Linked DNA regions of Caenorhabditis elegans. The protein of the gene in region 4 purifies or fractionates together with the protein of the main gene of each other region. This does not show direct contact. Each region holds a gene or a part of one and is shown on either strand. Other genes may lie near its edges. The genes, in order: T27F6.6, fbxa-12, gly-13 and tofu-4.

The links.
Region 1: the proteins of tofu-4 (region 4) and T27F6.6 fractionate together in Caenorhabditis elegans (co-fractionation; one large-scale study listed by BioGRID). This does not show direct contact.
Region 2: the proteins of tofu-4 (region 4) and fbxa-12 fractionate together in Caenorhabditis elegans (co-fractionation; one large-scale study listed by BioGRID). This does not show direct contact.
Region 3: the proteins of tofu-4 (region 4) and gly-13 fractionate together in Caenorhabditis elegans (co-fractionation; one large-scale study listed by BioGRID). This does not show direct contact.

What each region holds. Positions count from the first base shown.
Region 1 is NC_003279.8:12,488,404-12,496,399, forward strand, and holds T27F6.6 (Putative neutral sphingomyelinase), read left to right. Parts: upstream 1-2,572; 5' UTR 2,573-2,576; coding exon 2,577-2,670; intron 2,671-2,928; coding exon 2,929-3,196; intron 3,197-3,843; coding exon 3,844-4,051; intron 4,052-4,323; coding exon 4,324-4,587; intron 4,588-5,010; coding exon 5,011-5,242; intron 5,243-5,718; coding exon 5,719-5,957; 3' UTR 5,958-6,127; downstream 6,128-7,996. Other genes in the region: pars-2 (putative proline--tRNA ligase, mitochondrial), read left to right, coding at 466-738, 1,025-1,423, 1,805-1,990, 2,207-2,392; T27F6.7 (uncharacterized protein), read left to right, coding at 6,430-6,721, 7,316-7,466, 7,549-7,744. UniProt on the Caenorhabditis elegans protein: Catalyzes the hydrolysis of sphingomyelin producing a ceramide (N-acyl-sphingoid base) and a phosphocholine. C.elegans contain specific sphingoid bases, which are unique or different in structure compared to the sphingoid bases found in other animals.
Region 2 is NC_003281.10:2,216,218-2,223,722, forward strand, and holds fbxa-12 (F-box domain-containing protein), read left to right. Parts: upstream 1-3,490; 5' UTR 3,491-3,579; coding exon 3,580-3,632; intron 3,633-4,356; coding exon 4,357-4,972; intron 4,973-5,941; coding exon 5,942-6,148; 3' UTR 6,149-6,224; downstream 6,225-7,505. Other genes in the region: C39B5.14 (Fungal lipase-type domain-containing protein), read left to right, coding at 728-878; srd-65 (Serpentine Receptor, class D (Delta)), read right to left, coding at 6,266-6,453, 6,502-6,580, 6,623-6,901, 6,946-7,086, 7,140-7,236.
Region 3 is NC_003284.9:9,292,478-9,300,136, reverse strand, and holds gly-13 (Putative alpha-1,3-mannosyl-glycoprotein 2-beta-N-acetylglucosaminyltransferase), read left to right. Parts: upstream 1-3,514; 5' UTR 3,515-3,544; coding exon 3,545-3,628; intron 3,629-3,674; coding exon 3,675-3,833; intron 3,834-4,008; coding exon 4,009-4,053; intron 4,054-4,100; coding exon 4,101-4,156; intron 4,157-4,207; coding exon 4,208-4,316; intron 4,317-4,365; coding exon 4,366-4,510; intron 4,511-4,555; coding exon 4,556-4,665; intron 4,666-4,720; coding exon 4,721-4,800; intron 4,801-5,047; coding exon 5,048-5,197; intron 5,198-5,241; coding exon 5,242-5,332; intron 5,333-5,381; coding exon 5,382-5,494; intron 5,495-5,928; coding exon 5,929-6,136; 3' UTR 6,137-6,480; downstream 6,481-7,659. Other genes in the region: B0416.2 (uncharacterized protein), read right to left, coding at 51-131, 310-403, 447-561, 606-755, 815-878; B0416.7 (uncharacterized protein), read left to right, coding at 2,216-2,358, 2,493-2,589, 2,899-3,005, 3,076-3,127; B0416.3 (uncharacterized protein), read right to left, coding at 6,771-6,824, 6,877-7,001, 7,447-7,573, 7,621-7,659.
Region 4 is NC_003279.8:4,823,176-4,829,266, reverse strand, and holds tofu-4 (Twenty One u-rna (21U-RNA) biogenesis Fouled Up), read left to right. Parts: upstream 1-2,627; 5' UTR 2,628-2,633; coding exon 2,634-2,933; intron 2,934-2,978; coding exon 2,979-3,152; intron 3,153-3,200; coding exon 3,201-3,308; intron 3,309-3,352; coding exon 3,353-3,585; intron 3,586-3,629; coding exon 3,630-3,746; intron 3,747-3,791; coding exon 3,792-4,098; 3' UTR 4,099-4,363; downstream 4,364-6,091. Other genes in the region: htp-3 (HORMA domain-containing protein), read right to left, coding at 1-586, 637-1,001, 1,046-1,230, 1,278-1,371, 1,421-1,572, 1,618-1,730, 1,775-1,878, 1,928-2,081 and 1 more; F57C9.6 (G-protein coupled receptors family 1 profile domain-containing protein), read right to left, coding at 4,456-4,540, 5,244-5,384, 5,438-5,635, 5,938-6,076.

The DNA.
Region 1 (7,996 bases), 7.7 Mb from region 4:
ACTGTAGCATGGTGTTTGCGTGCCTGGCACCGAATTTGACGGGATTTTGCACAAAAACATTGAAAAAGTCAAAATAGGGATTATTTACCACGTGGAATCCGAATTTAAACTCAGATTTTCAGACTTTTGACTTACGAGCCAAACTTTTGGGCCAAAAATTCACTTTTTGCCGAAAAAATCCACTAAATAGTCAAAACTTCGGAATTCTGAGCTCAAAATCGGAGTTCCCATAGCAAATTACCCCTAGACCGCAATTGTCAGGTCTTTAGTGCAAAATGTCGTCAAATCAAGTGTCCCGGGGTTACTGTAGCCTGGTGTTTGCGTACTTGACACCGAATTTAACGGGATTTCGTCCAAACACTCTAAAAATAAAAGGATATATGTTATTTAGCACGGAGAACTCGAAGTTTAACTCAGAAATTCAAATTATTTAGGTTTTTGCCCGAAAAAATCCAATTTTTTCAGCCAACCGCCGAGGAAATGTGCACAGAACTGATCGCAACACTATCACCGCTCAAAAAATCACAATTTCCCCTTATTGTCTATCAAATCGGTGAAAAATTTCGCGATGAAATGAATCCGAGATTCGGATTAATGCGTGGGCGTCAATTTCTAATGAAGGATATGTATTCGTTTTCCACTGATGCGGAGACATCTCAACAAACATATGCACAGATTCGTCAGATTTATGATCGAATTTTTGGAGAGATTTTGCAGTTGGACGAGGATGTGATTAAGGTGAAAATTTCATTTAAAAAAAGTAGAAAAATCGATTTTTAGACTCAAAAATTCAAAATTTTGAGCTAAAATTGGCAAGTTTTGACTCATTTTTAGTCTAAAATCGTTGAAAACTCGAGTTTTAACCCAAAAATTCAAATTTTCCGCCAACCGCATGTCGCTTGTGCGCTCTATTGCGAATTGTCGATAGAGCGCATCTACAACGTGCGATCCGCGGGAAATCTGAATTTTAGGCTTAAATTTTGCTGCAAACGCGCCCCAACGACAGAAATCCAAAATTTTTCAGGTGGAAGCAGATTCCGGAGTACATGGAGGTCATATAAGTCATGAATATCACCTGAAAAGCAGTTTGGAGGAGGATTTTGTGAATTTCTGCGAAAATTGCAAAAATCACAACAAATTCGAAGGTCCAGGGCCGGCGAAATGTGAAAAATGTGCTGAAAATTCATCAAAAACTGTGCAAAAAATCCCATCCGTCGAAATTGCGCACACATTCCACCTCGGCACCAAATATTCAGAAGCTCTCGGAGCCAAATTTCAAGGAAAACCATTGGATATGTGCTGTTTTGGAATTGGTGTAACACGGCTTCTTCCGGCGGCAATTGATTTGTTATCAGTTAGTGATAAGGCTCTCCGACTGCCCAGAGCTATCGCTCCGTTCGATGCTGTGATTATTGTAAAGAAAGTGAGCAATTTTGGAGAAAAAATTGAGAAAAATCGAATTTTTCGCTAAAAAATCGTGAAAAATCAAGATTTTTCACTGCGAAATCCAGAAAATTCGATAAAATCTTAGTTTTCAACTCAAAAATTCAAATTTCCCGCCGACCGCATGACGCAACTGCGCTCCATTGAGAAAACTGCCATTTTCGTGTTAAATTTTTTTTTTTCGATTTTCCCTACTGAAAATGATTTTTTTGGAGAAAAAACGAATAGAATATCATTAGAGCGCACTTGCAACCTGTGATCGACAAGAAATGTGAATTTCTGAGATGATTTTTGACGCTTTTTGGCGATTTTTGCTCTAAAATGTTTAAAAAATTAATTTTTCAACCAATTTTCCTTGCAGAGCCTCATGTCGAATGTGATTGTGGAAATGGCGAGCTCGTCGGCTTCTCGTTATCTAAAAGGAGGCATTTTATTGGACGATCGTGTGGAAATGTCGGCCGGAAAGCGAATTCACGACGCAAATCGACTCGGAATTCCATTTATTCTCGTTATTGCGAACGAGACGGAGCGGAGTCTTGCTACGCAGGTAAAAACGGTCGAAAATTCCATTTTTTCAGCAAAGAAAAAGCGGAAATTCCACGAAAAAACGGGAGAAAATAGGCGAAAATTTGAAAATTTCAGCAAAAAATTCAAATTTTCCGCTGCTCGTTTACTGCAAATGCGCTCCAATGATAATTTTCACATCGGAGCGCATTTGCAGCCTAAAAAAACACAATTTTAAGCCAATTTTCCCCTATTTCAGAAGCCCGTCATCGAGGTATTCACGACACACGCCAAGTCTGCGGAGCCCATGTCTCAGGGCTCAATGAGCTTGGACCGTTTCGTGACTTTTGTGCAATCTACGCTTTATGGAGGTGGCGGAGCACACGATTCTGGTCATTTGGCACATAATCAAGTACTTGATCAACTCGGATCTCATCAGCATTGAATTTTGTTGAAAATTTGATTTTTAGGAGATTTCTATGGTTTTTTTGTTACATTTCTTTGATTTTCTTGTTTTTTCCTGAAAAAATGTGATTTTTAGACTCTTTCTAGTGTTTTTTGAGGTTTTCGAACCTTTTTATACCTATTTTGCCCTTCAAAACACGAATTTAAGCCCATATTCCAGGCTAATGGAGCCATCCAGCGAGCAAGAGTCCCAGGAAAGTCAGAAAGTCGACATGGAGCCGGTTTTCCGCCGGGAATCATTCGCCGCGTTGAGAAGAAGTGAGAAAATTGGAAAAAAAACGGCTGAAATTCAAGTTTTTCACCCAAGAATTTGAATTTTCTACCGACTGCACTGTGCAAATGCGCTCCAATGAGAAAACTGTCGTTGGAGCGCGATTGCAGCAGGATCGGCGGGAATTTCAAATTTCTGAATCAAAATATTGATATTTCGCTAGTTTTGCGCGTATTTTAGCTTAATTTTCAATCAGGGATCTAATTTTTCACGATTTTCCCTCCCGAATTATCGATTTTTTGCAGATAACGTGGCTGCTCGTCAACTCCGTGTGGTTACCCTTAACGCGTGGTGTCTCCCACAACCCTGGCCCATCGGATCTACGGATCGAGTTCACCGACTGAATAAAATCGGCCAATACATGATTGATGAGCTCTACGACATTGTCGGGCTCCAGGAGCTCTGGTCATATTATGATTTTGTGCGACTCAGCGAGCAAGTCTCGTCGGTTTATCCGTATTTTCACTATTTTCACTCGGGATTCACTGGCAGTGGTGTCTGTGTGTTTTCTAGGTGATTTTTTCTACAAAAAGATTTAAAAAATCGATAAAATCCTACTTTTTCCGAAAGTTGTCCGAATGGCGCAGTGGGATTTCCGCCGACTACCAATCTGAAGAGCGGGGTTCGAGTCCCCACTAAGGCAACATTTTTTGATTTATTGTGCATACGCTGCAAAAGTTTTTTTTTTAACTTAAAAATCTTAGCATTCCCACAAAATTAGTTTAAAAATTTTTTCTGAAAACATGTAATTTTTTCTGAAAATATGACAATTTTTTTTCGAAAAATCCAAATCTCAACTCTAAACCTTCACTAAAAACAGTTTCCTGCTCATTTTACAACGTCTAGAATCTAATTTCTGCAAAACAAAAAATAGTTGCCACCGTGGGGGGTCGAACCCCGGTCTTCAGTTTGGTGGTAGCCATCGAAAATCCCACTGCGCCACTTGTTCACATTGAAAAAATTTTCGGTTTTTTTCAAACATTTTGTTAAATTTTTAGAAATTTGTGGAATATTTGGGTTAAAAGGATAAAACTGAACAAAATTACGTTTAATATAATATCCTTTTAATATTAATAAAATTTAATATAATATAATATCCAAAAAAAAAAATTTTTCCGAATTTTCATCAAATCTTCTCCAATTTTTTTCCATATTTTCAGACACCCAATCGTATCCACTTTAACAAATCGATATTCTCTCAACGGATTCGCTCATCACATTCACCGCGGCGACTGGTTCGGCGGAAAAGTTGTCGGGCTTACCGAAATCGAGATTGACGGCGATTTGCGCGTCAATTTCTACACAACACATCTTCACGCGGAGTACGATCGTGAAAATGATCTCTATTTGCCGCACAGAACCGCGCAGGTGCTTGAAAACTCGAAAAATTCAGAAAAAATCAATATTTTAGGAAGTTTTACTCAAAAAATTAATTTTTCCATCAAGATTTCGCAGTTTTTAACTCAAAAATTCAAATTCCCGCCAAAAAATCCATAGGACTTCTTGCAAGTGCGCTCTATTGATAATTATGCATTAGAGCGCATTTGCAGCTGGGAATTTGATTTTTCGAGTCAATTTTTCGAGCATGTGACTCGAAAATAAGTGAAATAGACAATTTTTGACAAAATTTAATTTTTCAGGCATTCGAACTTGCTCAATTCGTCCGCCATACGGCTCGCGGAGCCGACGTTGTCATTGTGACCGGAGATTTGAATATGGAACCGTGTGATTTGGGCTTCCGGCTTATTTTGTCGCATGCCAAACTTTTCGACGCGTGGCGAATGAGCCACGAAGTGGAAAATGAGGATTCCGAAGGAGAACTACTCAAATTTCGAGGAATTGCAAAAGGCGGAACGTGTGATCGACCAGACAATTGTTATACGAAGCGGGCGCTGAAAAATGTGGTGCGAATTTGAAAAATTCGCTGAAAATTGAAAAAATCGTGAATTTTACTCGAAAATTCGAAAATTTAGGATAAAAATTGCTAAAATTTGGATTTTATAGCCTAAAATACTATGAAAATTGTAAAAATTCATAAAAATTCGTGAATTTTTCACGAAAATTTGAATTTTCCCCGATTTTCTCATTGGTGCGCACTTGCAATGTAGTGATCGCCGCGAAATTCAATTTTCCAGCACAAAATTGGAGAAAATCAGGGATTTTTTTTGGTATTTTATCTGAAAAATCTGAATTTGAACCGATTTCCTTGAATTTTAGAGCGTTTTTCACCAGATTTTCTCCAAAAAATCGATGTGCACAATTTTTACGCAAAAAAAAAATAAAAAATAGGAAAAATCAATAATTTATCGATTTTTTTCAAATTTCAGGACGACTCCAAACGCATCGACTATATGCTATTCAAATCCGGGCGGTGCAATGTAAAATTGGAGGAATGTGAGATCACGTTGAACCAAATTCCCGGTGAAGACCTTAATTATTCGGATCACGTTGGCCTCCGCGCTCGTTTCACGATTGATGATCGTTTTCGACACGAAAAATCTGTTAACACTTGGGAACCGAATCGTCCGTTGCTTATTGAGGCTATCGGGCTTGTTGCAGGTGCGGAAAAGTTAGGCCACCGAGTGGAAATTGGTGGCCGAACTTTTTTCTGTAGTGTTTAAGAACACAGATTTTGCACTCGTGGCCTAGAATTTTTGAAAAACTAGGCCATCGTGTAGAAAAGTTAGGCCACCGAGTGGAAATTGGTGGTCGAACTCTTTTCCGTAGTTTTCCTGGGAAAAACACATGTTTCTGTGCAAAAAAATGCGAGAATTGGTTTAAAAAATCTTATTTTGTACTCGAGGCCTAGAATATTTGGAAACTAGTCCCTCCAAGAAAAAAAGTTAGGCCACCGGCTCAAATTTTGTGGTTTTCTACTTTTTTTCTTTTTTTTTGACATTAAAAAATTTATTTCATGTTCGTAAAACTAAAAAGTCCATAAAAATCAAGTTTTTTAAAAACTAGGCCACCAAATGAAAAGTTCGGCCACCAACTGAAAATAGCCGATTTTTCCCCAATTTTTTGCATTTTTTCAGGCGGAGAACGTCGCGCACGCACGGATCGCATCTTTTTCTTCATTTTGGCGGTAATTTGTCTGATTTTAATCCTCGGAAGCCTATTTTTCGAAGTTTTTCCGATGGGATTCGCCGTTTTACGCTTTGCACTGACTGTCGTTGGAGTTTTCTTCGTTTGGCAAGGACTTATTGGCTTAACGTTGGAACGGAAGGCTTTGAAGGCCGCAAAACAGGCGATTCAGCAGATTTTGAATAATTAAACGCTGAAAATTGCAATTTTTAACCCAAAAATTCAAATTTCCCGCCAAAATTCGAATTTGTACAGCTTTATTATTAAGGGCATCTAGTTTCTCAACCGTTTTATCGATTTTTTTCTGTGATATAGTTTTTTTTTGCTAATTTTCCTGTTGAAATGAAGAATTTTATTATATATTTTGATTTTTCTCTAATTTTTTCTGTGAATTTGAATCGTTTTCATGCGATTTTCATATTTTTATTGATTAATAAAGTCAGGCCACTGCCAGAAAACTGCGGGGACTAGAAAAATCTACCTGAAGATTAGGCCACCACTGTTTGGAATGATGGTTTTTGGCGAATTTTTGGTCAAAATTCGCCATTTTTGACAGATTTTTGTGAAAAATTCAAATTTCGGTTGTCGTAAATCTAGTCCACCAACTTGAAAAGAAGTTAGGCCATAAACTCCTTTCTAGCTGATTTTTCTGCAGAAACACAATGGATCGAATGTTGGGATGGTTGAAACGTCGATCGGAGAACGCCCAGGTCACCTACTCGCGATTCGGACTGCCCGGTGACGAAGTGGACGAACGGCCGCCACCCACGCTCTGCCACGTGGCACATTTTGACGACGACGCTCCGGAATACCGCGCGTTTTTTACACATGCGACACGGGCGGCCGCCATTGCCGCTGGCTTTGGGCTCAGCTGCTCGCTCTTCTCGTTTGCAATGTTCTTGTTCGAATTCCGATGGGATGATCATGGCCGAGGTTTCGATGCGGGCACTGTTGGTATGGAAAATTAATGAAAAATTAAATTTCCGGCACTTTTGTCGTTGGAGCGCACTTTCAGCATGCGATCGGCGCGAAATTTAAATTTTTGAGTCTATTATAAAGATCTTGGCCAAAATTTTGCACAAAAACGATAATAATCTCAGGTTCTGTTGATTTTTTCGCCGAAAATTTAAGTTTTCGGCATATCTCTCAATAGAGCGCGCTTGCCAGCGATCGGCTGGAAAACTGGAATTTTTCCTTCAAATTCGAAATTTCTGGGGCATTTCTCAATAGAGCAGACTTGCATCAGGCGTGAAATTTGATTTTCTAGCACGAAATCTCTACAAATCGTGAAATGTTACGAAAATTCAAACAATTTTCTCATGAAAGTTGAAATTCGATTTTTTGAAAATTGATCACAAATTTATTTCGAAAACCTAAAAAAACTTTCGATCGGATGCAGTAAGCGCGCTCTATCGACAAATCTGGTAGTTTTCGCAATAGAGCGCGCTTGCAACATGCGGTCGGCGCAAAATTCAAATTTTTGAGTTATTTTTCCAGTTTTTAAGCAAAATTCGTCCTGAAAATCCAAAAAATTCAAAATTTTTGCAGTTGCCTCCCTCCTGTTCCTGATAATCGGCGTCCTAGTCCATTGGCAAGTTATAATCGGAATAAAAAAGGAGTCTGCGGTGCATATGATCCCAGCAATCATGGTCTACACGTTTTTGATTGTCGTCGAGCTGATTGTCTACGTTTTGGCCGCGTAAGTTTAGAAACTGCCCGGCGGACTAGAAAACGCAGCTGAAAAACCTCGGCCACCACTTGAAAATCCAATTTTTCTTCAGAAATCACCTCGTCAACTCGGCTTCCCTGTTCGCCTATCCACCGGACAAACAGACGCCAACGTTCCTCACATTATCGATTTTCTACCTGACACTTGTCGGAATTCAGACTTCGATGCTTTTGTCGATTACCAAGGCTCGGAACTACTACGAAGCCAAGGATATCCATAAAAAGGAGGTTCGGGTTGCCGAACATGGGGTTAGTTGCCGGAAAAGTTGAAATATTTTCGTGAAATTACTGTTTTTGAGCCAAAAATGATCTTTTTAGCGGTTTTAGCTTTGAAAAACGCTAAATTTGGCGATTTTCGAGCCAGAAATGGTCTTGACACGACAATTTTCTGTGGACTTCAAAAGGGTGTGCGCCTTTAAAGAGTACTGTAGCTTCTAACTTTTCGTAATTCTTCTCAGGAGTGAGCAGCAATTGCGGTTTGACAAGTGTTTTCCGGCAAAT
Region 2 (7,505 bases), on a different chromosome or scaffold from region 4:
GAAATGTAAATTTTGTGATAAAAATTTTTTTTCTACAATTCTGCAAAAGTATGGTTTTTTGGGTCTTGCAACGAAAACTATTAAAAATCCGCTAAATCGAAAATTCAACAAAATTTCCAAGTTCAGCTCGTTGAGACCTTTCAAATAACACCCATATCGACTAGAATCCGTCATCTTTGAAAAAAATTCCCCGACACAGCTGAAGTCATAGCTACAGTACCCATCGTGGCGGGACCCGAATTTTCAAAATGTGCGGGACCTAGGCAATATAGGTGCCATTTAAAAGATGATAACATAAGAAATGTAAATTTTGTGATAAAAATTTTTTTCTAAAATTCTGCAAAAAAAATTTTTTTGGGTCTCGCAACGAAAAAAAAATTAAAATTCCGCCAAATTGTAATTTCAAGAAATTTTACGAGTTGAGCTCGTGTAGACCTTTCAAAAGACACTTATTTTGCCTAGGATCCGTCAATTTTGAAAATTTCGGTCCTCCGACACAGCTGAAGTCATAGCTACAGTACCCATCGTGGTGGGACCCAAATTTTTAAAATGCGCGGAACCTAGGCAATATGGGGGGTCATTTTAAAGGTTTTAACGCCCTGAGTTTGAATTCAGCAGTGAAAATTTAGGAATTTTGATTTTGAAAAAAAATTCCGAAAAAAATTTCGAATTTTTTTTGAAATTAAAAAAAAAACGATTTTAATCGTAAATTTTCTGTATTTTGCAGGTACAACAACAACATGACCACCACTGATCCATACCACATTTGTGCAGAAGCCGATGGCCTATACTGTAGTAATAGGCAACTGGATACCGATATTCCCGATCATTTGACATATTTCGGCGTATTTTTCCCAGATTGGCATTTTACATGTTAATTTATTGATTTTTAAATGTAAATTTATTCAATTTATTGTTGCAGAATTTTTGTTTCGAAAAACACAAGAAATTCCATTACAGATGTTTGAAAATAAAATAAAAAGGAATTAGCATTTTCTAATTTCAACCATCAAATGTGAAGCATTATTATAACGACGAAGTTTGAAATTAGCTCCACTGCTTGTAAACTCAATATCCATTTCATCACCAATAGTAAAATCTGGTTGAAACAATCTTGCAAATTCGATCAGATTTCCAGGGTCAAACCAAATAATGCAACGCCGGAAACTACTTCTTTTCAAGAGGTCCTGAAAGTTGCAACTTACTACATATATCTGTGGTGTATGATATATATGATGTGCCTATATATTTATGACTCCATATATATATATAGTATATATATATATATATATATATATATATATATATTTCTATATATATATATATTTATATAAATATATATATACAGATAATTTTTTCCACGGGAATTGACGGGAATTCAAATTTTCTGATAATGAGAAAAAAAACTATCACAGTTGCAACTTACATCTCGAATTTTAATTGCGTCTTCTTGTGGAAATTGAACAATCGTTGTACAGAACTCTTCGAAATGAAAGAAATGATCAATTGCTGTCAGGTAACAATTTGTAACACCATAATACGTGGATCGGAAGCTTTTTGCACATTTCCACTGATCCAGCAAAGTGATCCTTTCAAAATCAAGAACCTTGCCAATGAGCAAACAATTAATATCGTCCAGCACGTCCGCTTCAAAACACGGCAATATTGAAAGAATTTCGTTGAATGTTAGGTATAGAAGATTTATTTTCTTCACGTGAACGCTTCCTCCGTTCTCCAAAACATTCACAAGAGATTTGAGAACCTCGTTTTTATTTCTTGTAAAGTTTTGCAGAACAAATGAAGATGCATGGTTCATTGCTATTTTCAGGTCCTTGAATGCCAACTCCATGAAATCTTTTTCTTGGATAATAGTCTTCCGTCCTTTGTAGATCACAGCTGAATCAGTGTATTCCAGTTCAATCTTATCAAACCGTATTGAAAGGGTTTCGCTCATAACGTCCAGCTTGATGGTGTCAAAACGGATTCCAAGCTTGTCAAGGGCGGCTCTCAAGCTTCGACAGACTTTACGGCAGGTTAGTCTGGAATTTAAATAGTTTTTGATTTAACACTGCAAGTAAAGTTTTAAGTCTAAGCCTACCATTTTAGCTCCGCCTATTTTTCAGCCAATTAACGTTTAGCTCCGCCTATTTCTCAGCCAATCAACGTTTAACTCCGCCTATTTTTCAGCGAATCAACGTTTAGCTCCGCCTATTCCTCAGCCAATCGACGTCTCAGCCAATCAACGTTTTGCTCCGCCTATTTTTCAGCGAATCAACGTTTAGCTCCGCCTATTCCTCAGCCAATCGACGTCTCAGCCAATCAGCAATTAGCTCTGCCTATTTCTCAGCCAATTAACGTTTATCTCCGCCTATTTCTCAGCCAATCAACGTTTAAATCCGCCTATATCTCAGCCAATCAACGTTTAACTCCGCCTATTTTTCAGCGAATCAACGTTTAGCTCCGCCTATTCCTCAGCCAATCGACGTTTAGCTCCGCCTATTTCTCAGCCAATCAGCAATTAGCTCTGCCTATTTCTCAGCCAATTAACGTTTATCTCCGCCTATTTCTCAGCCAATCAACGTTTAAATCCGCCTATATCTCAGCCAATCAACGTTTAACTCCGCCTATTTTTCAGCGAATCAACGTTTAGCTCCGCCTATTCCTCAGCCAATCGACGTTTAGCTCCGCCTATTTCTCAGCCAATCAGCAATTAGCTCTGCCTATTTCTCAGCCAATTAACGTTTATCTCCGCCTATTTCTCAGCCAATCAACGTTTAGATCCGCCTATATCTCAGCCAATCAACGTTTAGCTCCGCCTATTTCTCAGCCAATCAACGTTTAGCTCCGCCTATTTCTCAGCCAATCAACGTTTATCTCCGCCTATTTCTCAGCCAATCAACGTTTAGATCCGCCTATATCTCAGCCAATCAACGTTTAGCTCCGCCTATTTCTCAGCCAATCAACGTTTAGCTCCGCCTATTTCTCAGCCAATCAACGTTTAGCTCCGCCCACTTTTCAACCAATCAGCATTTAGCTGCACCCAATTCTTAACCATTCAGCGGAGGAAAGCAGCCCCTTCTGATTGGCCAGAAGTTGCTCAACATCATAGTTTTTTTCGTAGTTTTTAAGAGTTTCGAGATTATTCTGTATATTTTGAAATTTGAAAATGAAAAATTCGCATTGCTGTTAAAATGCAAAAAAACTTACCGTTCAATGGGCTCCAGCTTTTCAAAACATGATTGGCAATTTCCAACGGCAATTCTAGTAAAGTAGGCATTTTCGAAAGTTTCTTTTTTCAAGTAAAAACCTGAAGTTTTCAGTGTAAAATTTGAAGAAATTGGGAAGTTTCGAGTAAAATGAAATTATACCAATGTGTGACTGTTATCAGTTTAAATATTTTTTCGGGAAAAACGGATGGAGTCATACTTTTTTTACGGAGGAAATGTTTAAATACCATGCGTCATTGGAGTTTGTATAATAGAGAGAGTGAATAGACGTTTTTGGTTCATTTTTACGTTTGAATTTACATATAACTCCAGTAAAATGTCCAAGTTATCGCCAACTTTGCTCACTATCAGTATGCCTTTGGAAATTTCTGATGAAATTTTGTCAAAATTGCCTGCAATGGATCTGTAAGTTGAAGTTATAATTTCACAAATTTTTCCAAATGAAAGTCAAACTTTATGCTAAAAAATTTGAATTTCCCGCCAAAATGTTCAAAAAACATTTAATTTGAATTTCGCGCCACAAATTTTTAAAAATGTTGATATTAACGGTGCGTCAAAATTTATTTGTTCAATAACAAAATTAAATTTTATGCCAAAATTGTTTGGAATATTAAAATGTTTTAAAAATTTTAAATTTATTTTTGTACCCAAATTTTTTAAATATTGATTTTGGCGCCAAAATTTTTATTCTTTAAAAAATTGAATTTCGTGCCAAAAATGTTTGAAAAATTAAAATTTGAATATATATTTTTTTAAGATTAAAAACGTTTTTTTTTTTGAGAAATTTAAATTTGAATTTGGCGCCAAAATGTTTAAAAAATTAAAATTTGAATTTTCCGCCAAATAATTTTAAAAAATTGAATTTGAATTCAAATTCAAAATTTTGGAAAATTTTAAAATTGAATTTGGTTCCTAATTTTTTTATGATAAAAATTTGAAATGTGCTCCAAAATATTTTAAAAAGTTCAATTTGAATTTTCTGCCAAATATTGTTGGGAAATTAAAATTTGAATTCCGTGCCAAAAATTTAAGTTTTTTTCATGATTATATCTGATCTTTTCGGTACCAAATAAGTGTTTCCAGCTCAAAGGAGTCTTAAAATCTTTTTAGTAAAAATGCAATGTTCCAGACTATCCTGCCGTAAAGTGTGCAAAAGTCTGAGAAGCGCCGTTGACCAATCAGGAAACCATCTCAACAGAATCTCATTTGACATTTGTAATGATTTCGTTGCGATGGACTTAAACGGAAGTCAAATCAAATATACCGATGTTTCTGGTACTGCATACGTGACTTACAAAGGACGAGAAACAAAAATCGAAGAAGACAATTTCATGCGAGCAGCGTTCAACGACTTGGCGAGCGTATTGAAAAACGTGAAGAAGTTCGTTTTTCAGAACTATTCGAAAGTAAAACAACAAGCCATCACATCGTCGATAAATGATATGTTGGAAAATAAATGTATAGCCGTAGAGTCAGTAGTACTATACAACTTCCCACATGATGATATTTTGAACATCATTTCGAGTTGTCAAGCTGAAGTGCTCAAAGATATTGTATTATGGCACCGCGACGGAGTCGAGTTATCTGAAAGAATCACTTGTCTGGACCAATGGAAAAAAGCACGAACTTTGCATTGTCGGTTTTTGTTTTGTGATCTAGTACCAATTGAGCACTTTTTTCACTTTGAAGAGTTCAGTATTCAAATTGACAATCTCTCAATGCCAAATGCGATTAAAATTCGAGATGTGAGTTTTTCTGATTTTCACATGTATGTGGTATATAGTAGTAGTAGTAGTAGTAGTAATCAAGGGTGTCGGTTTTTCGTTTTTCGGTTTTTTGAAAATCGAAAAATCGAAAAATTTCGTTTTTCGTTTTTTCGATTTTTCGATTTTTTTTTTTTTTTTCAGAAATTAGCTTCATATTTTAGCCATTATTCTTCTTTTTAGAAGAAATGTGTATGTTTTATTATAAATTCAAGCAAAATTAGATTTAAAAAATCATATTTTAAGGATAATTTTCCGAAAATCTTTTTCGATTTTTCGATTTTCCAGAGAATCGAAAAATCGAAAAATTTTCGATTTTTCGGTTTCTGAAAATCGAAAAATCGAAAATTTTCGTTTTTCGATTTTCAATTTTTCGATTTTTCGATTTTTCGATTTTCACTGAAAAAAATTAAAAAATCGAAAAAATCGAAAAATCTAAAAATCGAAAAATGACACCCTTGGTAGTAATAGTGTGTAGTAGTATATAATTTGTATGTAGTATGTATGTATGTAGCATGTATTTATGTAGTATGTAGCATGTATATATGTAGTATGTAGTATGTAGTATGTATGTATCTAGTATGTAGTATTAGTAGCAGTAGTAGTAGTAGTATATAGTATGTATGTAACATGTATGTATGCAACATGTATGTATGTAGTATGTATGTATATAGTATGTATGTATGAAGTAGTGGTGTGTATGTATGCATGAATAACCTAATGAAATTTCTCGAAACCTTCTGAAAAAAGTTGCGGTGGTTTAAAAAATTACCGAAATTTGAAATTTGACCGACTTGTCAAGCACTAACTTTTATGAAATTACCATATAGCTATCTTAAGTTTTAACTTGATTTAGATACATTTAAAGTCGACGGATCACCAGATTTCGTAAATTTAAGTAAACCGAAATCAAGTCAAGACATCTTACTTGTATACCCAAATTTTTTTCAGGACCTCATGAACAAAACTACATTCAAGACCTGCACTATTTCAACTCACCATAATGTGCAATCAATTGAACTTGCAAGAATATTTCAACCGGACTATATGGGCGACATTGACTATAACATCAAATATTCTAATAACACTGGCACCTTCGAAATTTCTTTCAAATCATCACTTACTATTAGAGCACGGTTTGTTATTAAAAAATGCTGACAACAAAGGGATCTTGTTTCTATATTTTCCAAACGACCAAAATTATTCATATGTGCATTAAAAAAGTTTAATAAAAAACATGCTTCATTTTTGAAAAAAAAGCCCATTAATAATTTTTCAAGCAACACTGTTCACTGCTGAAACTCTTGTAGCCCAACTACCATCAGCAGACGGCTTCCGCACGAAGAAAGCCCGAACAGCGTTCCTGTACGGTGTAATGAAGTAAATTTGAAAAATTGGATCCAAGAAGCAAGGAAGTGCTCCTAGACAGGTTATTGTGTACTGAGAGATCAGGAATTGATGGCCTAAAGGTGATATATACAAATTATATTGGTTTGATAAGCTTCCCTTACCAGTGACTTGAATCAGAATAAATAAAAACACTACGGGGATATAACTAAGCATCGGCAGAAAGATTTGAAAGTTCAGGCCCTGGAAACCAAATTAAGCTATATAACAAAAGCTTACGCCTACAATAATCATTTTCCGAAACATAACACGTGTAGCGTCCGATGTGTTTGGGGATACATGAGGTTTAAGAAGCTTCATCGCCTGATGCTTCCAGTAGCTGCCGATCATTGGAAAATACAACGTGACAAGGAACATAGCCACTGTAGAATTATCGAGATAAACTTTTTGAGCTTGGCTGAACCCTCCAAAATTCAGATACGGAGTGTAGTCATACTCAGGGTAATGGGCTAGCGTTTCATTGTAGACTGCCAGATGGTCGGAGGGAGGAATCAAGGTAGAAGTCTGTAATAATATGGATTGGCTAGCTTTGTACGACGTCTAGCTACCAGATAGGCTATTATGAACAGGTAATGCCAAGAAAAAATCAAGGTGTTACGGCCAATTTCCTGGGCGTTGATCAACTTCAGACATACGGTGCGATAGTAGAGAGTGTGCAAGTTGATCAAGTTCACTGTTAGTACAGAAGTCTGGAAATTTGGAGGACAAGAGGGCCTACAGGGCTTGAAAGAGGATATCTCACCGCATATGCTTTATAGCACGTCGCACAAAACGTTGGCCCGAGAAACTTACAAAACCCATCACACAGCAACCCCATGGAATTCTCATTATCAATATTTCTTTAAAAAATTTAACTTAAAGGTGGAGTAGCGCCAGTGGGGAAATTGTGAAAAACCACTTATTTGATCCCAAAATGACCAAATATCATGATAAAACTTTTCAAAAAATTTTTGAAATTTTTTTATTTACTGTCAAAAAGTGGCAATTACTCAGTTTTTGCCACTCATAATTTTGGAAGTCGAGAAAATTTTGGCAATTTGCAATTTGACCGGAAATTATGAAAAATCTAAAATTTTTTGGAGTGTTTTATGATGATATTCGGTTGTTT
Region 3 (7,659 bases), on a different chromosome or scaffold from region 4:
TAATATATTTCATTAGAACATCGAAAAATCTCACAACGTAGTATATTCATTCAAACATCATCGTCGTCGTCTCCAGGACGTTCAAAGTCACGATACTGGCGTCTCAGACGACATTCGCAAAGGATCGGGATCTGAAATTTGTTCTGACTTGTATCATTATAAAATCAACAAAATGTAATGTTTGAACGTGCATAGATTGGAAAATCTATTCCGATTTTTTTCTGGTAATATTATTATTATTATTTGTAATCTGATGTCTTCATATTCTAGATTTTTAGTATAAAAAAAAAGAAATAACGATATTCTTACCCGAATCGTTCCTAATCTGTACGGTCCAAATGAGTTGAAGAGTCGGACCATTGTGTTTGCATTTTCGTACACTGTTACGCACTCGCTAATATACCTGAATAATATTCCTCTGTTTATGCTATATATATCATATTCACATGTCATCTTTGACGCCGTGACAAGACGGACGGTCCTCTTCAAGACATTGAACATGTGTTTTTGAAAATTTGTGACCACTGGCTTGCAGAATTTCCACAAGGCTTCCGTTGATCACTGTAAACTTCAAAATAACCTATAAACGTTTTGTTAAAGCTCACAATGTCCATACACTGGTTCATAGTTATGAAGAACCACTGTTTGGCATACTTCTTCAGTGGTTTCACTCATTCCAACCAACATTGACTTTTTCACCAAGAAAAATGGTTTTGGCTTCCGAGTGACAGATTCCAATTGTGAGCTTTGAGCAACTAGAATATAATAAATTCCTACAAGAGCATTTCTAGAATAATAACCCTAATTCACTAACCAAGAGCCTCAGCAAGGAGAAGTGCAACGAAGATTAGAGAAAACTTCGTTACACTGAACGGCATTCAGAAGTGTTGGGATGAAGCTAAACTTCTTTTACAAGATTTTGAATTTGAATTTCAAAATCTCTATAAAATAAATGAAATTTTAAAAAGAGATCAAAAGTAATACAACCATTCAAATCCTGCAAATAGAAAGCACCGCCCCTTTGACCCATGTCTTAATTTCAGGTTTCAGGTTTTGGGAAAAAACCAATTTCCATTCACAGGCACAATACCCATTATCGTATTTCGATCCATCATATTTTCACGTAAAACCAATAATTGTAATGGGCGTTTTCACTCCCTCTTTTGTTTGTTTCAGCCTTGCAACCAGTAGTTGTTGAAAGTCGGAAGTATTTCAATGGATAAAGTGGACAGGGAAGTGACATCAAGCTGGTTATGGATGCGAACAAATTGAAACTAACCTGTGAATTGAAATCGTTGATCAAAAATCGGTGTGCAAAATACTGAAATAAACGAAAACTGTTGCAGAAATCGAAAACACTTGTTTTAGGTCTTACCACGTGTTTGGTCGATATTCACGGTTTGAAATCTGTGCCGGAAAAATGAACATAAAGGTTTAATAAAAACTGTATTTTTCACATTTATTCTTTTGCGGCAAAAAAGCGTGCGACCCCGATATTTGATAAGTTTTATTTGAAAAGTCTCCAACCATTTAAAACTGAACACCAATAATTATGATATCTTCAATAAAATCTACTAACGACATAGAATGTCAGACGGTTTTGGGATTTGGTTGATTTACAAAGTATGTGTTGCAAAAACCGAGAAGTTCACATTTTTTGACTGAAACAAGACTAAAAAAAGGATTTGCCAACGTTTTTATTGCATGCAGTCATTTTAGCTAAAAGTAATTTTTCCTACTGGCGCAACCCAAGGCTGGAAAATCTATTGGGCAGCCAAGCAAATTGGCAACAGTTTGAGTTTTTCAAACCAAAAAATTGTCTCACATTAGCCCTGCGCAATAGTAATTTTTATTTCGGTCTGTTAACCATTAGAAACATGATATTGGACTTGTCTTTTCTCCCGATTCTTCATGGTTTGACTGAAAATATATGTATTTCAATGATAGTTTTCTGCTATACACTATTTCAACACTCCAATTACAAAACAAAAATGTCACGAGATCTCTCATCATTTAATTTTTCGAAATGAAACGTAATTTTTGATCTTGCAACGATGCTATTAGTGACCGTCATTTCCATTGGCAAGGCTGGGTCATAGCTACTTGAGAACAAGTTCTCTTGAATCGACAATATCAATTACGAGAAAGACCACTTCTTCTCGCTCACAAATTGTTTTTATTTTTTTTATTGTTTGACATTACAGATTAAGAAATGATGAATCTTTCAACAGCTATTATCTCTTGTTTATGCATTGGAGTTCTTAGCTATGAAAATAAGTTTCAATTTACTGGAACTGTGTATTGCAAAAGTAACGCCCCATGGTGTGTAAGAATTCGTGTTATAGAAGTTGATACATTGTGAGTTTTATCAGATTAGCAAATGTTGCATACATTGAGAGAAATTATTTTCCATGGTAAAAATTTAAATTTAGAAAAAAAATTTAAATTTAAATTTAAATGTAAATCTTCTATGTATTACAAACACATTTTAGAGTCGACGACGGAGTTGCCTCAGTTGATTTTTGTTCAAATGAAGTTACTCAAACTTACGATATTGGAGGAGTGCAAGAAAATGATGGACTTCTGGACGTAGGTTTTAAAAATTGAATTGGTAACAAGTCAAATGATTAGAAGCAAGTAAAAATAGTGATTCAATTTTTGGCAAACATGCGTAAACGTTGGAGTTTAAATTTTTATTTATTTAATAGTTCCTTCATATCAATAACATTATTCCACAGTTTATTTTATTTTCCATGATTCTCATATTTTTTGTCAGTGTTAAATCACAGTAAAATACATATATCAGTTAAGCTGTTACGTAGGCAATAATACTAAAATGCTGGAAATTTTTTTTAAACTATAAACAATATTTGATAAGAATTCCAAAAAAAATTTCAGCGTAATTTTGAACTCCAAATGGTTGTATTCCATAACTGCAGTCGCAACACTGAAACTGTCTTCAAAACGGGAATCTGGAGAATTCCGCTTCCGAAGGCTCCAACTGTGTAAGTCAAATAAAGTTTAAATAAGCTTTAATAGAACTTTACTTTCAGCTAAATTCAATAATTTTTTCAGACACGCTCCTATTCGCCAACATTTGAACTTGAATACGAATAATTCACAATAATTTTACGATCTTTCACAATTTTTTTATTTTGCTTCTTTTTCGAAAATAAAATTCAAGAATCAGACTAATGTAAAATCAGCGATTTATACTTTTACAAAGCAATTACATGCACCATATCGAAATCTTGCAAAATACTGCATAAACTACGGGATTAGCGGTGGGGTTTTGCGTCCTCAATAAATAGCGTGTCACCCAGTTGTGTGCGGCATAGTGGCAAAACACCATGCGGCGGGTTGCATGGGGGAGGAGTCTCACCGAAACCACGTCAAACTGCGGTTTATTAACCAAATATTATTAACATTTATTGTTTTTCCGTGGTTTTTTTTTTGCAATATTTATTTGTATTTTTCAAATATTAAAAGGTATATTTTTATTAATAATTTTCAGGCGGATGTGTACATATTTCCACCTAAAATCATGCATGCGGTGACAAAAATCTTTATCATTTTCATATTTGTATTTATTTTATGGACGCTCTACGTAGAAAATGATATAACAAATGTAAGTTTTTATTTAATTCGAAAAATATATAAAAACCAAGCTTTAGAGAACCAGAAATACGGATAATATTGATGATTTACTGGAATCAGCGAATAGATTGGAGCGGTTATTGAAGTTTGAGGCAAAGAAGATTGCTGCGTTGGCGGAAGATGTGCACAAAATAAGGGCAAACAGGAAGGGAAAACATGTGATAATGGAAGAAATGGTAAGGGTTTAAATTTTGAAATTTCAAAACTGAATTCAGAGTTACAATAAATCTATTTTTGCCATGTGAAACTGAATTGATGCTAACAGGGGTTTCAATGATCTTCGAGAGTAACTGCGAACTCCAAATTTATAAAAAAATTTTTAATAAAAAATGTACCATTTCAAAATTTCAGGTTTCTCAAGATTTGAAGCAATGGAAAGACCCCATTCCGGTTTTGGTATGCAGATTCGGAGTTTCTTTTCAAAATAATTGAGTTCTTTCCAGGTTTTCTCCTGTAATCGTGCGATGGCAGTGAGAGACCATGTTGAGAAACTTATCAGGTACCTTTCCATAGTTATTTTTGCAATAATTTTTATTAAGTATGTTTCCAGGTACCGACCAAGTCAGGAGAAGTTCCCAATCATTGTTACCCAAGACTGTGATAATGAAAATGTGAAGAACGAAGTGAAGAAGTTTGGAGACAAAGTGGAGTACATTAAGGTAGATTTCAAAAATCTCTGTCTGCAATCTCAATTTCATATAATTTCAGCATTTGGCCGGCGATAAAGCGAATATCACAATTCCACCCAGTCACCGACAGTACACCGCTTATTACCGCATAGCACGTCATTACAAATTGGCGCTCAATCACGTTTTTGTTGATAAGGGCTACTCATCAGTCATTATTACAGAAGGCAAGGTGATCATTTGATTTCATTTTAGATAAACTAAAATTACAGACGATCTCGACATTTCGCCAGACTTCTTCTCGTACTTCTCAAGTACGCGATATTTGCTGGAAAACGATGAGAAATTGTGGTGCGTCACTGCCTGGAACGACAATGGAAAAGTGAATAATACAATCTTAAATTTAATTGACTGTTGCTGAAAATATGTTTTTTCAGCAAGAGAATATTGACATGACTGCGGCTTCTACGTTGTACAGAAGTGACTTCTTTGCAGGACTTGGCTGGATGATGTCTTCGTGAGTTTCGGAAAATTATTTTTACTCATCAGTCATTATTACAGAAATATCATGTTTTTCTGAGAATAATGAAACTAGGGAGTTATAAGAATTTTTCGAAACTATTTTGTCTGTCGAAATCTGTAACATTTTCGAAAGGCTTAACACTTTTTTCCAGAGAACCGAACTTACAATTTCAAAAATTACGATTTTAATTTCTGCAAAATGTTTATGCTAATTTTGAGCTGTGATTTTTTTATATTTTCAGGAAAACGTGGCATGAACTAGAACCAATTTGGCCTGTAGGATTTTGGGATGACTGGATGCGAGACCCTGCACGGCGTAAAGATCGTCAATGCATCCGACCTGAAATCAGTAGGACAGGGATGATGTCTTATGGAAAAGAAGGCGCCAGCAAGTATGAGATTTCTACAATTAAAAGTCTCATAAATCTGTTTACAGAGGCCAGTTCTTCAGCAAGCATTTGGCAAAGATAAAAGTCAACGATAAGTACATCAACTTTGGGAAGATTGACTTGGATTATTTGTTGCCTGTGAGTGGTTTCCCAGTTTGCATAAAACTGCCCAGTTTTCCTGTTTCAGGCCAATTTCGCGAAGAAAACAAATTTGGAAGTCATGAAGGAAGCCGTTGAGCTGAGCATAGATAATGTGGCTTCTTTTGTATTGAGCTCGGAGAACAAAGGAAAAAGTGTCAGGTAGGAGTAACGCACTTTTAAAATGGGCCTTGAATTGACAAACGAGGATCATGAGTCATAAGAAAACGTTGGTGGAATCTTTTTTTTTTTTGAAGAAGAATCGAATCAACGATGAAAGTAAAACCGAACTAAAATGAAGAGAAACCATTCAATTTTTTTTTTGAAAGTACTAAAAAACATTGCTTTAATCCTTTAACATTGTTAGTTAGTGAACATTATTATCCAAACGGATGAGAAGACCGAATAGCAATGCGTTGTAGTCCAACATCTTGAAAACTTCTGAAAAATGATTTTAAGAATTGTTTGCTGGCTTCGTGTCATTAGTTTTTTTTAACTTTTTGACAGAGATGTTTGCAAATTTTGTGCAACTTATCTCTTATTTTATCAACATACATACTGTATTAAACACATTAATTAACTGTAGTATGTTTCAGAGTGATGTACGATGGCAATATTGACTACATCCGGAAAGCTGACAAACTTCATATAATGCACGATTTCAAAGCTGGTGTCCCACGTACTGCATATGATGGAATAGTCACTTGTTTTATAAACGGAATTCGTATTTACTTGGTACCTGACAGAACAAAAGTGTCAGCATATAATCCAGATTGGTCGGTTCCGCCGTCGTTTGGAGAGTAGTTTTGTGGCTTTGATAATGTTTAAACTTTATATTTCACGGGTTTCATTCTTACCGAATCTAGTCGACTCTGGCCTGCATTCCTATTATTTTGTTCAACTCTTTCCAGTGAATCTGACATTTGCAGCTAGTAATTTGATGTGAAAATTATTACCTTGTTTCGAGATGTGATTGCCCTACGAAATTCATATCTTTTCTCAGCAATTGCACGTTTTATTTGCTACGTTGGTTGTTATTTTAGGGGTATTGTAATTGATTATCAATCTTTTTCTTTCCAATATGTTACATTCCACGGAAAAATAGTTTTTTTTTGCAATGAATAAACGAGTGAGCGTTTTGAAACAAACACTGAAATAATCAATAGAAATTTATTAGAAATTGTTTTATTTCAATGAACAATAGAAAAATACAAGAAAGCGGACAAGTAATGGTGTAACAGCAACATGCTAGACACTCGTCAAGAACACAGAAACCCGAATTTCAAAAAATGGAAGAAAACGTGTGAAAGTGCTTACTAACACAGAGAGCTTGGAGAAGATCACGCAAAAATTATGATTAGAAGTAGTCGAAAAAAATGGTAGAAGTAGGCGGAAACCATGTGGCTGGTGAGTTTTTGGTGAGTGTGGTATCTCTACGCTAAAACATCATACGGTTAGGTGACACGTCATCTTGCGAAACTTTTTGGTTGGCCTGTAAAGTGGGTGAGTGTGTGAAGCGGTGAGCCCGAAGTGATAGCGTTTACCTCCTTTAACATGTGTAAAGTTTCATCAACCTGTGAAATAAACAGAAAATCGATATAAACAACATGAGTAGTCCAAACTAAAGGGGCAAGAAGCAAAGCTAAAAGAAGACTGCAGCCGAGGAGTACTGAAAAATAAATTATTAAACTGAATATCATCTTTAGAAGGTTTTTTTGTAAATATATATGAATTGGAAATAACTATCCAGTGTTATAGTGTGAACCTATGACATCAATTATCCCAGACATCCCAGACAAAAAAAATGTAATTCTACGGATACACTTTTCTGAATTTTAGCATAATTTAACTAATTTTTACGTATCATGAACCAGTTATATTTGTGTTATAGCTCTAGCCCTAAATGGTTTTGATAGTTAAACCTCAGTGAACACGTGAATAACTATTCTATAACTGGTTTGATTATTAGACTTAGAAATCAAACTTTCAAAATAAATAAATCTAAAAAAGTTGGTCATCATTAAAAAAAACACAGCCATTTGAAGGTCTAGCTTTTGCAAAAATATCTAACGTTTTCTTATAATAAGGATAAAGAAAAAACGCCAAAAACAAACCTTGGTCCGTCCCGAACGGGATATCCTCAAGTGGCAACCTTAAAAGGGCTGACAGAAACATCTTCGGAAACACTACAGCCAGTAATAGAATTGTAATTAATATTAAGTCGTATATTAAAAATACAAGCTGCAATATTCAGGTAAGCCTGTCAAAATATGCAGTTCAAAACTCACTTGTATTATCACAAATGGTATAAGGCACATTTTAGCTCC
Region 4 (6,091 bases):
CTTCATGCTGCTCGGTGTCAATTGATAAGTCGGCAAGTCCCTCAACAGCAATTTCATTTTGAGCATCTTGAGCATCATTTTGAGCATCGTTCTCCTCAGCCCTTGCTACATCCAATATACTTGGTACACGACCGTAGATGGGACTTTCACGAACGTCTTCCTCCACTGTATCGTCAGTTGGCAGATCAGCGACGTCGAGAATACTCGACACTCGTCCATATTTTCTCTTCCGTGGTCTTTTATCCGGGATACTACCGTTCGCCAAATCTACCTGAGCCTCTTCCGAAACCGGATTTGCAACTGGGTCTGGTTTTTTCCTGTTAATAGAAGTATTTGAAACGCCATATCTTGCTGTTGAGCTCTCCTGCTTCTCAGATGTAGTATTATCTAGATCCGCAGCTTCCTCAGGTATTGCAGACTTTGATTCATTTCTCTTCTCGGGAGAGGTGATAATAGCATCAGAGTCAATTTGAAGAGAATTCTGAGCATCAGAGTCAATTTGAAGAGAATTCTGAGCATCATCATCATTTTGTTCTTCTGGCTGTTCATCGACTTCAACTGGAGGTACAAGCCGACGAGCACTTCTCTGTAAATTATTGAACTTAACATTTTTATTATAACAATAAAAATAATTACCCTTTTTGGGTTCACTATTGGTTCTTCTTCTTTCTGTTCGCATCGTTCATTGTTCTTCGTGGTGCGTTTACTGGAACGTCTCATCTGAGCTTTTGGCGCTTTTTGAGGTTGCTCTTTCACCGGGGACTCCACGGGAGAAGCCGGTTCCGTTGGAGTTATCGGGACAGCGGGAGCTCTCGTTGAACGTTTCTTTGCAGCTTTCACTATTGGAGAACGTTCCCTTTCAACAACCATTGGAACTTCATCATTATCAGCAATCAATACATTATATTCGGACTGCAGAACCATCATTTCACTGGCCATACTTGGATTACAACGAATTGATTCGTTTGCCACATCTTCGTCCATACGTACTTCTTGACGACCTATAAACATTAGAAAATTAATTTTTTTTCTCGACAAAACGCACCTGGTGAAAAATAGATTTCGTCAAGTTCAGGATTCTCAGCACAATTCATTGTGTTATCTCGAACAACTTCGATCGGTGTGATCGTTGAGTTGAGCAAATCATCTTCAAAATGAGAAACTTCCACTGGTGGACGAATGGCTGAAGGCTGTTCAACCATGAATTTCGAGGCATATGCGAATTGAAATCTGAATCAATTTAATTAAGAATTTGATGATTGAAATGACGAACAAACCCATTGCCGTGAGGAAAACTAACAGCACCAAGATTGATCTGCTCAGGATTCACAAAATCGTCGACTTGTTGAAATCCGGGAACGAATTCCGGTTCTAAAACAATAATTTATTTATGATTTAAATTAAATATTTTTAACCTTACCTCCTCTGTATGCTACTTTCATCGATGGAATGAGGCCTCTTGGTAGCGGACGGAGCAGGCTTAGAACATTTCTAAGCTCGCTGAACATCTTGCAAAACTGTTGAGCAGTATCATCCATGTTTAAATAATTCACCACAAATTTAGATTTACGCCTGGAAAAGAGTCAGTGAAATTTATATTTAGATAAATGATCTAACCCTCCGTATCCGATTTCGGCACTTGCAGATGTGGTTGAGTCATAGACAAAGGTCCAGACAAACGTTTCCACGGGATTCGTGTTTAGTGACTCTTCAACGACAATAGCGAGTTTCTGCAAACAATGAATTTTTACCACTTACGAGAGTAAAACTGTACCTGAAGGAGTTTCTGACGGATCGCGTCATGAGACGCCAAAAGCTTCGAAGACACACTCCGTCCTTCTGGAATGTCTTGTCGCAAAGTATATCCGCTGACATCTCCTATAAAATAATTCATGCTTAATTGCAAGTCAGATAGATAAAACCTCACCATAAACTTGAAAATCCTGGAAGTATTCCGCAGGAATAACTTTCCGTTCACGGAGAATTGTTGAGTTTGCAAGATAAACGCAGTTGGCCATCACTTCAAGAGAGCTTTTCGAATTTTCATCACCATTTTTCAATGTTTGCTCGTTGAATATAGCCTGAAAATTTTCGTTTTCTCGACAAAAAAAACTCTGTCAAATCTACTCACCCTGTCATCACTCGTCAGAGAGCCAGGGACAACAGAAGAGTCGAAGCTTTCGTCCATTTTGACACTTAAAATATTTTAAAACATTTTTTTTAATTAAAAACTAATTGAAAATGAGAAAAAACTGAAAAATAAATGAATAATTTGACATAAAATAACTAATTTCAACCGAAGTTTACCGTAACTCAGGTCAACATGTTGTGTTCTCGTGTCGAGACCCATGGAAGAAATGTCATGCACCTTTAAGTTTTTTCTTTTATATTTCAATTTTTTTCCGTTCATTTTCTACTTAAAATGCACTTTCAAGAGAATTTCTCATATTTTGAAGTTTTAAAATTGTAGTTTATTAAAATCTGAGCATATCTCTATGTATTTTGAGTCTAGAAACCGCTTTGAAATGTGCAAAGAACAGATGAAAGCACTTAAAATTTAAATAAACGTTTTTTACTTATTCATTTATTGTGTTTTTAAGCTTCTATATTTAATAATGAGACATTAATTTCAGATGAAACCGACGACGAGAAGCGCATCAAAAAGAGCAAATGCGGAATCTTCGGGAGTGAACCAGCCCGAGAAGAAATCACGAATTCCTGAAACAGAAATTGTAGAGGATCCGTTGGAGATCGAAGTACCGCCCGCATCGGCAGATGGCACTGACAACAAGAGTTTTTCAGAAAATGAATACGACGATGATCACAGTAGCAGCAGCGACGAGGAGAGTGATGATGAATACGTTGTGGAGACTCACAAGAGTTCGATGGTGGATGCTGCAGAAAGTTCCGAAGGCGAGCGACCGGATGAACGCGTATGCTGCCTTTTAAAAAATTTTTATCGATTTAACTTCTTTAAGATTGTCCGAGAATTAGAGCAGAAAATTGCTCGTGGGTTGAAGAACGACAGGATTCTCAAAAAGAAAAAGAAAGCGTTAGATGGGGAAGTCTCAGACACTGAAGACGTGGTTTGTGAGTACGAACCACAAGCGATGCCGAAGCAACGAAGAAGGCGACTGTATAGAAGAAAAATGGTGGGATTTTAATGCTAGTTGTTGAAATTTAGAAATGATTTCTTGCAGACCAGACCTCAAGGAGTCCCTAAAAGACGTCGCATCAAGAGACCGGACCTGGAACTTGCAGATGATTACACCTGTGACACTTTTGCTGAGCAAGGATTGACTCTGAAGGTGTGTAAGAATTTATAATTTAAATATTTGCAATAATTTTTCAGTCTTTGACAAGTGACATCAAACAAGACGATCCTGAAGTCGATTGGAAAGCAATGAGAAGGATGGGTATCGGAATCAGATCAACAAAAAGAGACGAAATCAATTCCGATGAGGATGAAGCGGATATTATTTCGCATTCATTTTCTTTCTACCAAACAAGAAACTCTAAAGAGCAAGTGGCACAGGCCGTCGAACTAAATATGAACCCTTTTTCGGAGAAGATCGCGAGCTACAAGTAATTGTTAAGAGAAATATCATGAATAAATATTATGTTTTCAGTGCTCCAAAGTCCGTTCATGGATACAGTCGATCTTCAATTCAAAATCAACATTCAGGATTTATTGACAAGAACGACATCAAATATCCGGACGAATTATTATGGCAGGAACCATTTACGTGAGTATTTTAAAACCATATATATTGATTAAGAATATTTTTCAGCCATCTCGTCTTCTTCCAATCCACATTCAATGCTCACGAGTCTTCCATCAAGTTCCTGAATAATGTCGCAAATTCAAAAAAGCAGGAAAGAGACTCCAAACTGATGAAGGAAATTCGCGAAAGGATTAAGCAGAAATCGCTCGGACATGTAGATGTTCCAATCGACTACACAAACGTGGAAAGTACATCGGAGCAGCCGTCGACTATTGATCAGTACAGCCTTCCTGACCTGACTAGTCAATGCGACGAGGGAACCATAAAGGAGGAAGAAGACTTCGACTATCTGATGGTAGACGCAGAATTCTAAAAGAATTTTTATCCGAGTCACATTATTGTTTTAATTATTCTCTGTTTGTTTCAAATTTTAGAGCATCTAGCTGTTGTTTGAGAATCTCAAATCTCAAATTTATTTATATCGTGAGAATATAATCTATCGTTTTTTCCCGTATTTGACCAAACATTTTCTGTAATATTTAGCTTTTTCGCAATCGTTCGACACTTTATATACGTTCTTTGTTTCTTTTCTAGTAAGATGTTTTTTTTTTTAATAAAACTTTTTTTAAATTTTGAAAATCAAGTTTCATAGAAAAATAGCGATGAGATTCTTGGGAGCGACCAGAAAAATTTGATACAAAACATTAATGGAGATGGAAGAAATAAGTTATTAAATATCAGTCGGTTGACTGTGACGCTTGAATACATCCGTTGTCAAGATCGGATCGGTTTTTGTTAGGCAGGGGAAAATAGTTCTGAAAAATTGAAGATTTAACTTCTTCAGTGGTTTCATTGCATTTTTAGTTATTACGGAAACACAAAGTTCTGAGAAACGCGCAACATATTTGAAGCGCAAAATATCTCGTCGCGAAAACTACAGTAATTCTTTAAATGACTACTGTAGTGATTGTGCCGATTTACGGGCCCGAGTTTTGAAATAAATTATTTATAGATATTGAAATTGAGCAAAAAATCAAAAAAACTAATGATACGAAAAAACTAATTGTAAAGAAAGTTGAAATCGCTGTCACAATTCGAACAGAAATTCATTTCGAAATTCGAGCCCATAAATCGACACAAGCACTACAGTAATAATTTAGAGAATTACTGTAGTTTTTGCTACGAGATATTTTGCGCAATACGCATTCTCAGAATTTTGTGTTCTCGTTATGTCGCGACATGTCGTGTATTTATTCACATGCCTTCTTAAAGGCGCATATGTTTCTTCAGATGGGTCTCGACCCGCAAAAGTTTATGGTGGTTTTTTTTAAATTTTCGCCGCTGTCTTCCTTGCATTTTCGATGAAATTATTACATATATAGCGAATTTTGTCATTTTTCTGTTAAAAATTAAAAGAGCCGCAAAAAGCCTACCATAAACTTTTGCGCGCCGAGACCCATTTGAATTAATCCGTGCGCCTTCAAGTAGGCATGTCAAAATCTTGTGAAATTACGATACCTTTTCAGAATATTTCTAAATTCCCGCATTCTCATGAAACAAAGTGGCTGAAGAAGTGAATGAAATGAGATGAACAAATAACACGTGTATTTTGTGAAAATGTATCCACTTCTGGCATGAACTGGAATTCCTTTGCTTCTGCTGAAAAAAATGAATTCGTGTTTATTATTTAAGATTTGATATTTAAAAAATACCTAGTGATATTAACAAGATGCATTCCTTGAATAACTGCATAAGTGGTTAGATATACTGAATATACCAAAATGACACTTCCAATCATTAGCACGTACTTCTTTCGACGAGCAATCGATTTTCCGTGTGAATGATCTTCTTTCAGAAGATCAGTTTCAGCTTGGTATTTGACATCGGCTCGTACAAGTTTTGTGATTATTCTGGAAATTTTTTAAATTAAAAGAGCATAGAACTTTAGAATTTAAAACTTTCTAGACTTCATTATCTACATCATATGAAGTCTCTATAAAATTTGGAACCTGTAGGGATCCCTGTGCAGGGATCGTGGCGAGACTCACTCAGTAAAACAACATGTGCCTTTAAACTGAAGTGTCATACTTTTATGAATTCACGATATATTTTTGTTAAATCTATGGATTATTCGTACTTTGACTAATTTTTTCCCGATTTTTTGCGGTATTTCAGAATTTTAGACTTTTTTTTTTCGAAACGAATTTCATACCTAAAGAGAATAAAGTAGCAGCTGGCGGTGATTGCAAGACATATAAGACAAAATGCAATGAGAATCATATGAAACACGAAATAATGTGACAAAGACGTCTCCTGATGTTTTATGCAAAACGAGGCTCCACTCATCATTTCTGAACAAAAAAATC